Arabidopsis thaliana: one gene and its partner. The protein of the gene in region 1 interacts with the protein of each later gene in a pairwise test. Each region holds a gene or a part of one and is shown on either strand. Other genes may lie near its edges.

The links. Proteins that work in one complex are often made in the same cells at the same time.
Region 2: the proteins of AT2G24400 (region 1) and AT4G27280 interact in a two-hybrid assay, tested with the Arabidopsis thaliana proteins (one large-scale study listed by BioGRID).

What each region holds. Positions count from the first base shown.
Region 1 is NC_003071.7:10,374,834-10,382,686, forward strand, and holds AT2G24400 (SAUR-like auxin-responsive protein family), read right to left. Parts: upstream 3,813-7,853; 5' UTR 3,697-3,812; coding exon 3,160-3,696; 3' UTR 2,123-3,159; downstream 1-2,122. Other genes in the region: AT2G24395 (chaperone protein dnaJ-like protein), read left to right, coding at 664-837, 918-1,055, 1,162-1,248; AT2G24410 (SMAD/FHA domain protein), read right to left, coding at 4,338-4,574; AT2G24420 (DNA repair ATPase-like protein), read left to right, coding at 5,314-5,482, 5,603-5,730, 5,816-5,887, 5,964-6,077, 6,202-6,270, 6,360-6,470, 6,552-6,614, 6,696-6,758 and 5 more.
Region 2 is NC_003075.7:13,661,378-13,668,609, forward strand, and holds AT4G27280 (Calcium-binding EF-hand family protein), read right to left. Parts: upstream 3,245-7,232; 5' UTR 2,786-3,244; coding exon 2,393-2,785; 3' UTR 2,038-2,392; downstream 1-2,037. Other genes in the region: AT4G27270 (Quinone reductase family protein), read right to left, coding at 81-318, 400-662, 1,425-1,518, 1,844-1,866; AT4G27290 (S-locus lectin protein kinase family protein), read left to right, coding at 4,904-6,188, 6,283-6,420, 6,518-6,675, 6,750-7,198. UniProt on the Arabidopsis thaliana protein: Potential calcium sensor that binds calcium in vitro.

The sequences.
Region 1 (7,853 bases):
AGCTACAGATTCTTGTGCGGTATGTTATTATACAATACACATATAGACATGTGTTTAGCTTCGATTGTTTGTTCGCATTTATCTTTTACGAGAGCTCAATTGCTACTATGTTTGAGACGAATTGTGTGAATTTTCCACAATACTAGTAAGTAATACCAAATCAAGATGTTATTGGAAATTATAAAGCAAAAAGTGGACAACAAATGTGTTGTAGATAGCATCAAGTTTTATTAGCTAGGGAAGGTCATATGTTGTAGACAATGTGCTTCTATCTTAGTACAGAAGATAGATTATTAACTGAAGCATAGTGAAAGCGAGTGGCAACCAAAGCTTCAAAACAAAGACCCTGCAAAGTATACCAAATAGACTTAATAGAATTTAAACTTTGGGCTGGACCTCCCAAACCTTGAGAAACTATGGACCAAGTCCCGGATTTTTAATTCCACAGATTTGTCATTTGTGTATCCGCCACTTAGTTGCTGTTGAGCTGTCCATAGCCTGTGTGGGTACTGTACTGGTCCCTACTAATACCAGCAATAATCGAAATTAATGGGCCTTCCTACGATCCATTATCAGCCCACTAGTTACTGTAGCGGACGGACTTTGTGTGAATTAACCGCCACGGAAGTTGGATTGAGGAATTCAGGAAAGAGCAAAAAAAAAATGGCGACTTGGATAACGTTACAGCCTCCAATTTCATGTTATTTACGGCTGATGCCATCATCAGCGCCGTCGCCGGCTTCATCCACGTCGCGTCGAAAACAACGTCGTCTCTTTAAGCCATTTCGATGCGTTCCACTTCAAGAACAAGAGCCTCAGCTCGATCAGTCGCAGCAGGTACCAAACAAAAATTTGGACATTAAAAATCGATGAAGTTGAAATCGGATCTGACAATTGATTGAGGATTTTTCGTGAAGGGAGACGACAATGCTGTGATTTTGTGTGAGGATTGTAACGGGAAAGGATGGTTGCTCTGCGATTTCTGTAAAGGACAGAAAACAAATGTGAAATCTGAGAATAATCGAATCTATCGACGATGTCCAACTTGTAAAGCTGTGAGTTTTCGTAAATTTCGATTAGGTTAAACTGTTGCTAAGTAATGTATCTGTGAAACTTTGGATTGGTTATCTAAATCTGGGAACTTGAATGATGTGATTATAGGTGGGATTTGTGTTGTGTAGAAAATGTAAAGTGTTCAAGTGTGTCACATTTCCTAACTCAGAAGACGGCGATGAACTTTTGTTCTAAGAGCTCCTTGTTCTAGCAACACTCTTCTTCTCCAACTAAGGACACCATTTGAGTTTTCAGGTTCCTTTCTTTTTCCAATTGTTATATATATATATTGTCTTTACTCATATGTAGCCATATGTATATGCACATTGTAACATTAATCAGACTAGTGAATAGTGATTGCATTGGCTTCTTTACTGATCTCTATGTTCATGTGTGAAGCTTTCCTGATTGTATATTGTTATATGTATTGTCTTTATTCATATGTGTAATAAGCACATTGTAACATTAATCAGACTAGTCATTGCATTGGCTTCTTTCTAACCTTTCCTGGTTGATTTTTGTCTGTAATGTGTCTCATTCTCATGTAGATATTTAAATCTATTTCATTGATTATTCTTAAAAAATGGGATTTCCTTGTCGTTTAACGTATAACCTCGACACCCATCTTTAGAGCAGAAAACTATTGAGTCAATGTCGTACACTCCCAACTGTTTTTATGATTCCAAGGCATATGGTTTGTTCTTGTTAATCTTCTGCTGGATCATGCTGTCTTTAAGTTTATAGAAACCTGCAATTCATTATTCTCGATATAAGGTTCAGGAGATAAGTGCACATGTATTAGGCGATTCGTTCTAGATGGTGTTAAATCTCAAGGTACAGATGTCATGTGGTGTTTTCCGTTTTATCAGATCTCTATGTTTTCTGTTTTGACTTTTGACTCTCATTAATCATTTTGGCAGAGAACTAACATGTAATGTGATTTTATGAACATCTTACTCTTCCTTTCTTGAATCCTGTTTGGTTTAGGGGATTGTAAAGTCAGTCCTTTTGATATTGCCGTACTCTTTTGAGATGAACGTATATGCATGTGATCACAATAATGTAGCTAGTTAGTTTATGTAAGAATTTTTCTGTGACTCTGCTATTAGCTTATTATATTACTAAGCATCCGTATTTTAGCTTTAGTTTTTGTAAGAGAAGCTTAGGATACCGTACTTTTGCCTTTGAATAGTTTAAAAACAACATTCCACTTGGTGATTAAAAGTACCATTCCGTAATTATTGTTATCCTTACATTATCATATTATTTTAAACCTCTGATTACTTTAACATAACTCTGCAACTTCCATTCACATGGTTGTTCCGGAAAGAACGCAAACTGCCCAAATAGAAACATGAACCATTCTTTCTATTCTTTTTTTGTTCTCTCTCTCTCTCTTCTTATTTCTTAATAGGCGTAGCATTTTGGCTTATTATGAGCTTGATTTCTGCTTAGAGTTAAACGACAAAGTGCAAATGTTTAATTCGTATGACTCATTATACCTCTAGTTGCATAAGGGTCTATCTGCTGAGGTTATAGATCAACTTCTATAGTATTCCAAACTAATAAAATCTTCGGTTACCATAAATTATCTTGCCTACGTGATATGTTTCTACTGACTTGTGCTGCAAATGCAGACGACTGGATTACAAAGGATCTATGAAAATTTGTGTAAAAGTTCAGATAGTGTTTTTGCTTGATTCACTTATTCAGTATTTGATTTTTTATTGTACCACGAGTCTACTGCATTTGTCATCAGGAATAGATGGTTAGATCAATGGGCTGGTGGGTTCTTGTGAGAAATTCCACCAGAGCAGAGAAATATCAAAGAGCCGTTTTAAGTTTTCATCAGTCAGAGGTAGTGCAACAAAAATTGAAATCAGTGCAGAGAAAGAATAAAGAGTCTCCAGGAACAGAGGTCCACATCACGGTTTCAATGATCTGTTTGTACATTCCACTATTTAGAAATCTCTCCCCTTACTCAGAATTAAGAAATTTTAAAGCACACAAATCCATATTCCTAGAGAAAAAGTGGGAATAAGCAGAATGGCTCAAATTAGCACAAGAGGAGGAAAAAGAAGATGCAGAAGCAAGCAATGAACAAAACTATCTGCACATTGGGCTGTTGTGAGGTTGGTGTGAAGGAGTCTTAGGACAGTCTGATGGATGCTGGTAACTCGTCTTATCATCTGCTGCTGCATTGAACTTACATTCCTGCTTAGCTGTTATTGGCGTCACCAGGTACCCTTCGTTCTTCTCCTCCATTATCTTCAATATGCTCTCAAAAACAGAAACTTCACAAGGAATCCTCAAGACACCGGCTTGTTGAAACCCGAACTCTTCTTCTGCCTCACGCAGAAGAACATAGAAAGCTTGATGGCTGAGGTACTCGGTTGGTATTGTGTACCTCTTCTTCTCTAACCCGACCGAAACAGCTAGATACCCTTTAGGCACAGCTGTTACATCTGTAAATGACAGTGTCCTCTTCAGAAACTTGATGCTCTTGCTTCCCCCGCCACTGCTATTGTTGTCTTCGTTGTTGTTGTTGGCTGCTTTTGATGCAATTGCTTGTTTTCGCCATTTCTTGAGAAGCTGTTGAAGCTTAACGATCTCTCTGATCTTGTTTGACTTCTTGGCTTCCATGGTGGAGATAGAAGACAAAAGACAAGAAGTTTGGTACTATGTTTTGTCTAGCGTCTGTCTCTTTCTATGTGTGTAGTGATTAGGACGTGGTGAATATTGAGAATCGGGGATATATAGAGGTGGTGACCACGGAATTCTGATTTAATTAGTTTTGTTTCTGCTTAAAATATTGTGCTAATCATATGCTTTGGTTTTTTTTAATGATTTAAACCAACTTGAATTTGTTGACAAGCAAAATTAAGCAGCTTGAACTTAGAAAATGATATTTAACATAACCTCAAATTTTGTCACCAAAATCAGACAGGCAAAGCTGGCTCAAGCATCGCTTAAATCCCTGTAAAACGCAACTATGTAATTAATATTGAGATATACTTGTTGCTTTCTGACTCTGATTTCATTCACTCGGCAGCATTCTCGTGCTCTCGGCTGCTGTTGCCAAATCTTATGGTATCTTTCTCAAAAAGCTCATAGTACCGTTGTGTCTCCATCAGACTTTCATTGATGTAAGTCTTATAGGTACTACTAAGATCCATAATATGTAAGGCCTCACTTGCTTCTTTCCCATCATACCATATGGCTCTTTCTCTTTTTCCACCTCCCGGTACTGAATAACAGCATGTTGCTTGCTACAAAATGTGTGATTAGTAGGAATGTCGGATCTTTCTCTCACGTCCAAAGAGGTAGCAAATTTGGTAATGAATGCAAAGTGTCTCTTTCAGTGGTTCACCATCCTTAAAATGATAAAGTCTCCATCTTTCTTTGGGTTTTCTATTATCTACGGGATTATTGAAGAGGAGTGTGATACCTTTGTATATGTTGGTTTCTTCAGCAAGTTTCCTCGATAGCTCAAAACATCGCACACCATGTTTTTCAATCATCAAACATGAATGAAGTAGCAGCTATCGAGATTCTCTCTCTCGTCCGGTACTTAGCCAACACCCTTCCTCCGAATCTCTGAATGTCAGATTGATGTCTCCTGGCACTTGGAGGATAATCTAAGCAGACATGGATGGGTCCTAATCGATCAAGATAGTATCTTCCATATAGGTCTCAAGAGTTTGAGAAGATGTCTTTCACCGTTTCATGCGGAAGTTGACTCCTTACTTTAAGCAATTGAATGCATGATCGTAATTAGTGATATATTTGGAGTTTTCGCTTCCGGTTACTCTGATATGATATCTTTCCTCGACAACTATAACGAATGACCAATATTTGTAATAGAGATAGTCTATTTTCGATCTCTCATTTGTTTCTTTCTTTTTTTAACATTACATTTTTTCATAGAATTCTAATACTCACAGATTGTTTAATGATTTTTTCTTACAAAAAGTATCATTCAGATAATTTAATAAAAATGGTATCGCAGTGCCTTTATTTACCTTTAGGAGTAAGTTTTCTTTCTTCCGATATCCTAAATTGTTCGACACGTGTCAATCACGAAACCACAACCAAAAAACCTTGTCGTCTTCTCCAATCATAAAAAAAAAAAAAAAACAGTGTCCCAATTTGATCAAACAAAACAAATTCATAAATTCGGAGAAGAGAACGAAAAATCTTCTTGTTGGCAAATCTCCGGCGAGATCATCTTTCTTATTTTGTTCCACGGAAGTTTCAGACATGGCGGCCGCGAAACTCGTGGCGTTGTTACTTCTTCTCGCCTTGGTTTTCAATTTCACCACTTGTATCTTTGCCGACGCTGGAATCGACGGCGGCGATGAACCGAAACTTAGATCCGACGGCGGTGATATCGAATTGGATCAGCTTAATGCTAAAATCCGTGCCCTAGGTTACACTCAGAACTTTACAGTTACTTCAATTTTACTTCTATGTCAATCGTGAAAATTTGCTATGGCTTGTGTGAATTTCTCAAATTAATTTTTGTTTTCTTCTTTTTTGGTTGGTGAAGAATCTCAGATTGATGATAAAACCAAGGAACTTAAAGGCAGAGAAGAGTTAGTAACAGAGAAGGAGAAACTTCTTCAAGAGAGACAAGACAAAGTTGCTTCTTTGGAGACTGAGGTTTCTTCACTAAGGGTATGCATGCATCTTTTAGTGTCTCACTGAAATTGCTTCCATGTTCAGATATAGATTGCCTTTATATATCAATCTTTGTTTCCAGAAAAAAGGTTCATCAGATTCTGTGGAACTGTTGAGTAAAGCTCAAGCACGAGCTACTGAATTAGAGAAGCAGGTGAGTTCATTATTTGAGAACCCATCTTTTATATGCACGTAAGTTTCTAAATTCTACATTATACTTGTGAATTCAGGTTGAGGTACTTAAGAAATTTCTGGAGCAGAAAAACAAGGAGAAAGAATTGATAGAAGCTCAGACTAGTGAAACCGAGAAGAAGCTAAACGAATTGAACTCGAGAGTGGAGAAAGTATGTTCATTATACATCTCTTGGTTCATTTTCTCTTGACACACATTATTATTCATTTCAAATCATTTAAATAGAAAGTAGAAAGTATGTTCATTATGCAAATTTTCACAATCTATTCCTGCAGCTTCACAAGACAAATGAAGAGCAGAAGAACAAAATACGAAAACTTGAGCGTGCTCTTAAAATTTCTGAGGTATGACGACGCTCTTGGATTAAGTTTAGTTCCCCCTTAACTTTCGGTTTCTGCAATCACTCTCGACTCTTATCAAAATAAAATTATAGGAAGAAATGTTGCGGACAAAGCATGAAGCCACCACAAAGGCTAAGGAACTGATGGAGGTTCATGGGGCGTGGCTTCCCCCTTGGTTTGCTGTACACTGGAGTAGTTTTCAGGTGAGATTAATAGATTTTATCTTTTACGACTTTCTTGCATCATAGATTTTCTCAATTAACTTGGACACTTCCTGGACTCAGACTGTTGCTGGGACACACTGGGACGCCCACGGCAAACCAGTTATGGAGAAAGTTACTCAAAAGGTATTGTTAAATCCAAATTGTATGTTGATTACATGACTCTGAGAGCAAACTTATGCCTAACTAAGTTTGATCATCTTTTAGGTGACGTTAGCAAAAAATCAAGCTGAAAAATGGGCTAAACCGCACATGGCTAATGTTAAAACTGTAAGTAACTTACAGGCAATGTGTGTTATTACTCAGGAGGCTCTTATGGTTATGCTTACGAAATTCTATTTCCAGAAATATATTCCAGCCATAAAAGAGACTGTTAAAACGCATGTTGAGCCACACGTTCAAACACTATCTACCAAAGCGAAAGAGGCTTACCATGCTTCCAAGAGTGCGGTTACACCACATATTGTCAAGTTTCAAGAACATGTAGATCCCTATTACCAGGTGAAGTATATTTTTTTCTATCTAGATATTAATCTTTCAGCTCCATCGATGATGACAATATGCGCTTAATTTGTTTTGTTTATGCTCTCCAGGAGGCTAAAAAGTTTAGCAAGCCGTACGTTGATCAAGTGGCCACAGCCACAAAACCACATGTTGATAAGGTGAGAGCTACCATGAAGCCTTACACAACGAAGACTGTCCACTATTACAAAGAGTTCCTGGAATCTGCCTCAACTTATCACCACCAGGTTAGAATCGGAGGCACTGTGTATAATTTATAGGCATTATAGTTATGAGTAGTGTCATTTCTAGAGGAATGTGTTGTCTTTTAATCTGATAACTCTGTATATATGTGAAGCTTCAAGCCAATGTCGAAAGTAAACTGAAGAGCCATGAGCTGTTGGAACCTTTTGCCACCAAAGAGTTCATTTGGTTTGCAGTATGTTCTCTCGTCTTGCACTCTAAGACAACATGCTTTTTTGTTGCTTCCTTTATCAGCTTAAAATTGATAAACTGTTCACTGTAGGCCTCTGCTTTGTTGGCCTTACCCATCTTCATAGTGTACAAATTCCTCTGTTCGCTCTTCTGGCAAGTTTCTTATAACGAATCATTATTTATAAGATTTAAATTAGTTTTCAGTATATTGCTCTGTAGTTCTTAAAGATGCTCCATCCTTGATTCCACCAAATGACCTTTCGTTTGTTTGTTGTATGTTTATTGCAGCACAAAGACGAAGAAGCCTATCCGACAGTCTCATCAACATACTCGCCGTAAGGCCAGAAGGGGTCATTCTGACAAATGAAGTCACATGCTTTGTGTTGTTATCACTTCCTCGTGCTATAAATATTAGAGGTACATCTCACT
Region 2 (7,232 bases), on another chromosome or scaffold:
ATCAGTGTTGCATAATTCCAAAGCAAAAAAAATCACAAAATGCCAACAAAGAATCAAAATATTATCTTATTGAGAGAGCTCTAAGCAGCAGCAGGTCCCTTGAGCTTCTTACTTATGGCGGCAATGTACTTCCCTTGGTGAAATGCTTGCCCCAACTCCAGTTCCGTTGGCTGTCTCGACCCATCTCCGGCAAATGTTCCCGCCCCGTACGGGCTTCCACCTTTCACATTTTCCATCTCAAACATTCCGGCACCAAATGTGTAGCCAATCGGGACAAAGATCATCCCGTGATGAACCAGCTGAGTAATGGCAGTTAATCTACACATAAATCCGTTTTGTCAACAATATAGCAAGTGGTCACTTTGATGAATGCTGTTTGGATTGTGAAAAGAAACTTACGCGGTGGTTTCTTGACCACCACCTTGGGACCCTGTGCTGTAGAAGATTCCGGCTGGTTTACCGGCGAGTTGCTGAGTCCTCCAAAGGCCGCCGGTCGCATCTAAAAATGCCTTGAACTGAGCAGCCATCATACCAAACCTCGTTGGGAAGCCGAAGATAAATCCATCAGCCTCAGCGAGCTCGTTTGGGGTGATAATAGGAGCATCACTCTTTGGTGGTGCACTCATTTTAGAGAGCACATCTTCTTGGAGCGTTTCGGGTACCTGTCAAGAACAAACGCTAGCTCAATACTTCTTCCAATGATTCTTTACAGGTAACTTATGATCAGAAACACTGACGGCAGAAAATAGATGCAGAATAAAGGAACATGCCCTTTTGTGTAAATAAACTAAGGGAAAGCAACACTATATACATTAAAAGTAGAGGTTATGGTAAAATATGCCAATAGGATACTATAGTTTTGTTTTGGTTCTGAACACAAAGGAAATAACTTGTAGTGACTAGTCAAAATAAAGGAGCTCGAGACATCGAATACTGTCAAGAATGTTGGCAGCTACAATGTATAGTAAATCAAAATTAAGAGCGTATTTCTTCTTTCTTTCAGGGAGTAGAGAGTCAAACAAACATTCGTCTTAGCAAAATAAACTCAGTGAAGCACACATTGTTCAACGCAGATAAGACAATAGGATACGCCGAAAAGACAATGCAGGTTAAGATAAATGTCTCTCATTGGTTCCAAAAGTTCTAGCCTATAATAAGTAGTCATCATCCGTCAGTAGTGTTGAATCACTAAAATAGCATAAGAATGGTGGCAGCTAAAAGATATTCCAGTAAAACAGAAAACTCTAGAAATGTAATTCCCTATCTTTCAGATACAAGAACAAGTTTTTAACTTCAACACCTAAATTTTCAAAGAAATCTAGTCACTTGAAACTGTCTCTCATTGTATCCTAGAATCAGATGTGCTGATGAAAATTGACAATGAGTAAGAAAGCTCAATAAAGAGCAGTAAACCAAGCACTGACCTGCCAGAGTATGGCTTCAACACCATCAACAGAAGCAGCACCTTTCCTAATCTCTTGAGCTAATTTCTCCACATGACCATACATTGAGTAGTACCTATTACACTCACCAAATTGTCAATGGCACCACTCACTGCATCTCCACATTAAAATCCAAACCCATCACAAAATTAAGGCAAAGCAACACAAATCCATGATTCTAATTACAAATGACAATTATATTAAACCACAGCGAAAATCATCGATTCACAGTGAACAAGTATACAACACTGCGACTTTGAGATCAGCGACAATGAAATCGAGTCATTTGAGTTAATCAAAGCTGATTTTTCAATCAGTGAGATCGATCGATGATCGCGCATTTGCAATAAGTGTTCGAGCAGAGAAAGAAAACATTACGACAGAAGATAATTTTCACATACACTATGTAAACTTTGGTCGCCATTGAAGAAGTGCGCTCGATCCTCTGAAAGCTTTTCTGATTTTTGTTTTCGCAGAAAATCTAGCTCCAAATTGTTGTTATAGCTAGCTCTTCGAGAATTTTTAGTCAACGACCCAAAACTTATTAATTTATATTTCTGCCCCTTAACTTATTTTTGATCCAGTAAACCACCTTAATTGTAAAAGCTTGACTAGATAGCTCCTAATTAACATATCTCCTTTTATTCATGGAAAGATTAAGCATTATAATCAACACATCATTGATAGTGCTTAAGGATGATGATTTTTTTGTGTGTGCTACAAATCGATATTGTGATACAGTCATCACCAGTCTAGTTTATGAATTTTTTTCTTTATTTTATATATGTTCAACACATCTGATCAAAGATATAAACTGAAGTGTAAAAATAGTATCAAGTACTATGATTAAAAGAATTATGTGAATGGTAACATTAATGGAAAAATTAAGAAAAAGGTAACAAATGAATCGAATTAAATAAAAGAGGAAGGGATCCCAAATCTCTCCAGTGTCAATGCCGGCGCGTGAAGCCAAACTCCTCCTCAATGACCTCCGTGACGAGACACCGCGACGCTTCCATCAAATCAGGGCTAAGCCTAAACATCAACACACAAAACTCCATCTGATTCAACGCACCGTCGCAGTCAAAATCACCTTCTTTAATCATACACCGGACATCTTCATCAGTCAAATCTCCTAAACCCAGAACCGCCGCAGCGTTACGTCGGAGACTCTCGAACGTGATGACACCTTTCTCTCTGTCCATCAAAAGCTCGAAGCCGTTGCATAGCTCTCCGATCAGACCTTCACCGCCTAGGTTTCCGGCCATGGTAGGAAGAAAATCGTGGAAATTGGGTTGTGGGTTTTGTTGGGTTGGTCTTGTGGGTGACTTTGGTGACGCCATTAGAGCTTATGTTGTTTAAAAATCTGAAATTTGGTTCTGGTTAAGGAAGGTTTGTTTTTTTATCGTTGTTATTGATTTGAGGAGGAGAATGAGGAGTGAATGAGAATATAAAGGAAGAGAAATTGGGATTTCTGAGAAGGAACATCCATGGAAGCCAGCTAAGATTAATGAGGGAAGGTCCCGTGTCTGGGAAATTGCGATTAATCTCTCAGATTGTTGGTATGTGGTTTCTTCGAGGAAGGTCGCTTTTAGGGGTAATATCGTCACTTCGTAAAGGGATGTGGAAAGCTCATAGTGTGAAAACGGCGAGAGATGGAGGGTAAAATCGTCCGTTTATATTAAGAAATAGAAAGAGTAAAGTAATGGAAATGGAGGAGTTGTTTGTTTGTTCCTTTGTTTATTTATGGGAAATTTCCACCACTTTCATCGGCAAGTGACTTGAGTTTGTTTATTTGATTGATTATCGAAAATATGTTTCTTTCTTTTTCTTTAAAGATTAAGGTCGGCTCGACTTAAAATTACTCTGGAATTATTCAAATACTGGTTTTGCCTGATCACACAGTTTTTTTTAGTATAGATTGTAGTTACTATTTCGATTTTTGGAGATGGGTATGTTTAATGATATTTACTACTACAAATTACTTTTGTCAAAGTTCACGAAATGTGTAATTAGTTTAAGTTTTGTTATAACTTGCTTCAAAAATATGTTTTTATCTCAGTTAGTTTTGAAAAATTAAATAGCTGTGGAATGCATCAACTTATCCATGACATTCAGTTTTCTAGACTTTCGACTTAGTTGTGCCCAAAAAAACAAAAAAAAAAGACTTTCGAGTTATGACTTGCATGCAAGTTGCAACTTCAAACAAACGAAATATCAAAGGTTTGACTAACATTTACTATAACTTGGTATGTGACATTTCTATGCATGGTATTTGATTAAATCAAATGTTGGTGTCCCTTATTCAAAGACATCGTCAGCAAAACTAAATGCAGCGACATAATATTCTACTACTTGGTCTGCCCGTTCTCTAATTGCATGTCTCTATTTTAATTTATATATAATCAAACCAAAATCTTGCTTATTGGATAACCATTGTCATTATTTCATGATTCATGTACTATTTAACCGAAAATCGCAGTTCAATAATGCTTATTCAATGCATTAAAAAAAAAAAAAGAGTCAAGTTCAAAGAACGAACATTAAATCATGATTCCTGGCTAATGATATCTTTGGTCTTACTCTTGCCTCTTAATGAGCTTGTCTTCTTAATGCTGACAAACCATTGTGCTCTTATTAAAACCTCTCATAAATAAAATTTGCTATTGAAATATTAAATCTGTTGAATCATGTTTATCTAAGATACAGATAAAAGGTATCGTAACATTTAAACTGTCTCAGAATTGATAATAACCTATTTTATTGTCACAAAATTGAAAATAATTCATCATATATTTGAAAGTGTACATTATCTTCTTAATCCATGCGGCTCATTTTTTGTTTTCTTAGATTACGTGGAAGCTTTACTAACAGATAACCATGGGCCGGCCCACATGCTGAATCAGCAACACTGATCGTGGCGGATTTTAACTAAGTCTGGTCGAGAAAGCCCGTCGCAACATTTTAGTTTTATATGAGTCGGTCAACAAAATGCTAAGCTGTGGATTGTTTTTTTGTTTTGAATATTCAATGGTTTCTGTCTTTCTGAGCTTACTTTCTTTAGATTGAGAAGCTCCCCACTAAACTTTGTTTGATGTTTTCTTTATATCTTAGTTAAATTGCATTATTTAGTTCCAATTGACAAGTAACTTTGCATCTCCATTGAATCATTCCACCATTTGTCCTATAAAACACGTATAAAACTACAAATATATAATCTCTAGGCACGTTGTGGTTGACATTAAGAGCAAATAATATCACGACGCAAGATACTGGACAGCAACTCATTACAATTCTCTTCCATGTCTCTCTCATTTACACATATTAAACTATATTCCATGGAACCTAACTTAAACAATTTTCTCTATATTTCCAGTAATTAAACAAATAAAATAACTGACTATCATCATTGTTTATATACCAACTTCGTTTCCACGCTCTCTGGTTCCACAGAACCGGCCATGGAAGCCACTAATGTGCTTCATCTGCTTATCATCTCTCTGTTTTCGACGATTCTTTTGGCACAAGCAACTGATATCCTCATAGCAAACCAGACTCTAAAAGATGGAGACACCATTGTTTCGCAAGGTGGGAGCTTCGAGGTTGGTTTTTTCTCTCCAGGAGGATCAAGAAATCGTTATCTCGGAATTTGGTACAAGAAAATCTCTCTCCAGACCGTTGTTTGGGTTGCTAACAGAGACTCTCCTCTCTACGATCTCTCAGGAACCCTAAAAGTATCTGAAAATGGGAGCTTATGCCTCTTCAATGACCGGAATCACATCATCTGGTCATCATCATCCTCACCATCTTCCCAGAAAGCCAGCCTAAGAAACCCAATTGTTCAGATTCTTGATACAGGTAATTTAGTTGTGAGAAACTCAGGGGATGATCAGGATTACATATGGCAGAGTTTAGATTACCCAGGAGATATGTTTCTTCCAGGAATGAAATATGGTCTTAATTTTGTAACCGGTTTAAACCGGTTCTTGACATCTTGGAGAGCAATAGACGATCCATCAACTGGTAACTACACGAATAAAATGGATCCAAACGGTGTTCCGCAGTTTTTCCTGAAGAAAAACTCGGTTGTTGTCTTCAGGACTGGTCCATGGAACGGTCTAAGATTCACCGGTATGCCAAACCTAAAACCTAACCCTATCTATCGGTATGAGTATGTCTTCACGGAGGAAGAAGTTTACTACACTTACAAGCTTGAAAACCCTTCAGTGCTGACAAGAATGCAGCTGAATCCGAATGGAGCTTTGCAACGTTACACTTGGGTCGATAACCTTCAAAGTTGGAACTTCTATTTATCGGCTATGATGGATAGTTGTGATCAATACACGTTGTGTGGCTCTTACGGAAGCTGCAACATCAATGAATCTCCCGCTTGTAGGTGTTTAAAAGGGTTTGTTGCTAAAACTCCACAGGCTTGGGTTGCAGGGGATTGGTCCGAAGGGTGTGTTAGGAGAGTGAAACTGGATTGTGGTAAAGGAGAGGACGGCTTTCTGAAGATTTCAAAGTTGAAGTTACCAGATACAAGAACATCGTGGTATGATAAGAACATGGATTTGAATGAATGCAAAAAGGTATGCTTGAGAAACTGTACATGCTCGGCTTATTCGCCTTTCGACATTAGAGATGGCGGAAAAGGATGTATTCTCTGGTTCGGAGATTTGATTGATATAAGAGAGTATAATGAAAACGGACAAGATCTGTATGTGAGGCTTGCTTCTTCTGAGATAGGTAAGGTTTAAGACTTGTGAAACAATAAACATTGTTTTACTATAGAATGATTTATAAATCTTGAATATTCTTTTTTGTTCCGTTTCGATCACAGATGAGTACAATATCCATTACGTGAAGGGAAAGATAAGGATGATACTCATAATAGTATTATCTACTGCTCTGTTTCTTTTTTGTCTTTGCATTGGTTTGACTGTCTTCAACATGAAAAAAAAGAAACTTGCAACAAAAGGTAAATGATCATTGTAGTTGAATAGCTCTCAGAAATTAAGTATCTCTTGTTTTTCTATTGTGCTCTATAAGTTTATTAAACCCGTTGTTTTATTCAGAAACTTTGCAGCGCGAATCATCCCGTGTTTCAAGCAGGAAACAAGAGGAAGAAGATCTTGAATTACCATTTCTTGATCTTGACACGGTCTCAGAAGCTACAAGTGGATTCTCTGCTGGGAACAAACTTGGACAAGGTGGTTTTGGACCTGTTTATAAGGTAACAAAAAAAAACTTCTTGTCTAATTCTCAGATTGTGTGCAAAAAGGGTAAAATGTTTTGTTCTTTGAGCAGGGAACATTGGCTTGTGGACAAGAAGTTGCTGTAAAAAGGCTATCAAGAACGTCAAGACAAGGGGTAGAAGAATTCAAGAACGAGATCAAGCTGATTGCAAAGCTTCAACACAGAAATCTTGTGAAGATTCTTGGATATTGTGTGGACGAAGAAGAACGAATGCTTATCTACGAGTATCAGCCGAATAAAAGCTTGGATTCTTTCATTTTCGATAAAGAACGACGTAGAGAACTTGATTGGCCTAAACGAGTGGAAATAATCAAAGGGATTGCTCGCGGAATGCTGTATCTCCATGAAGATTCAAGGCTTCGAATCATCCACCGAGATCTCAAAGCAAGCAATGTGTTGCTTGATTCTGATATGAATGCGAAAATATCGGATTTTGGATTGGCTAGAACCTTGGGAGGAGATGAAACTGAAGCAAACACGACCAGAGTGGTTGGAACATAGTAAGATTAACTCTGTTTTTTACTTCAATGCAGC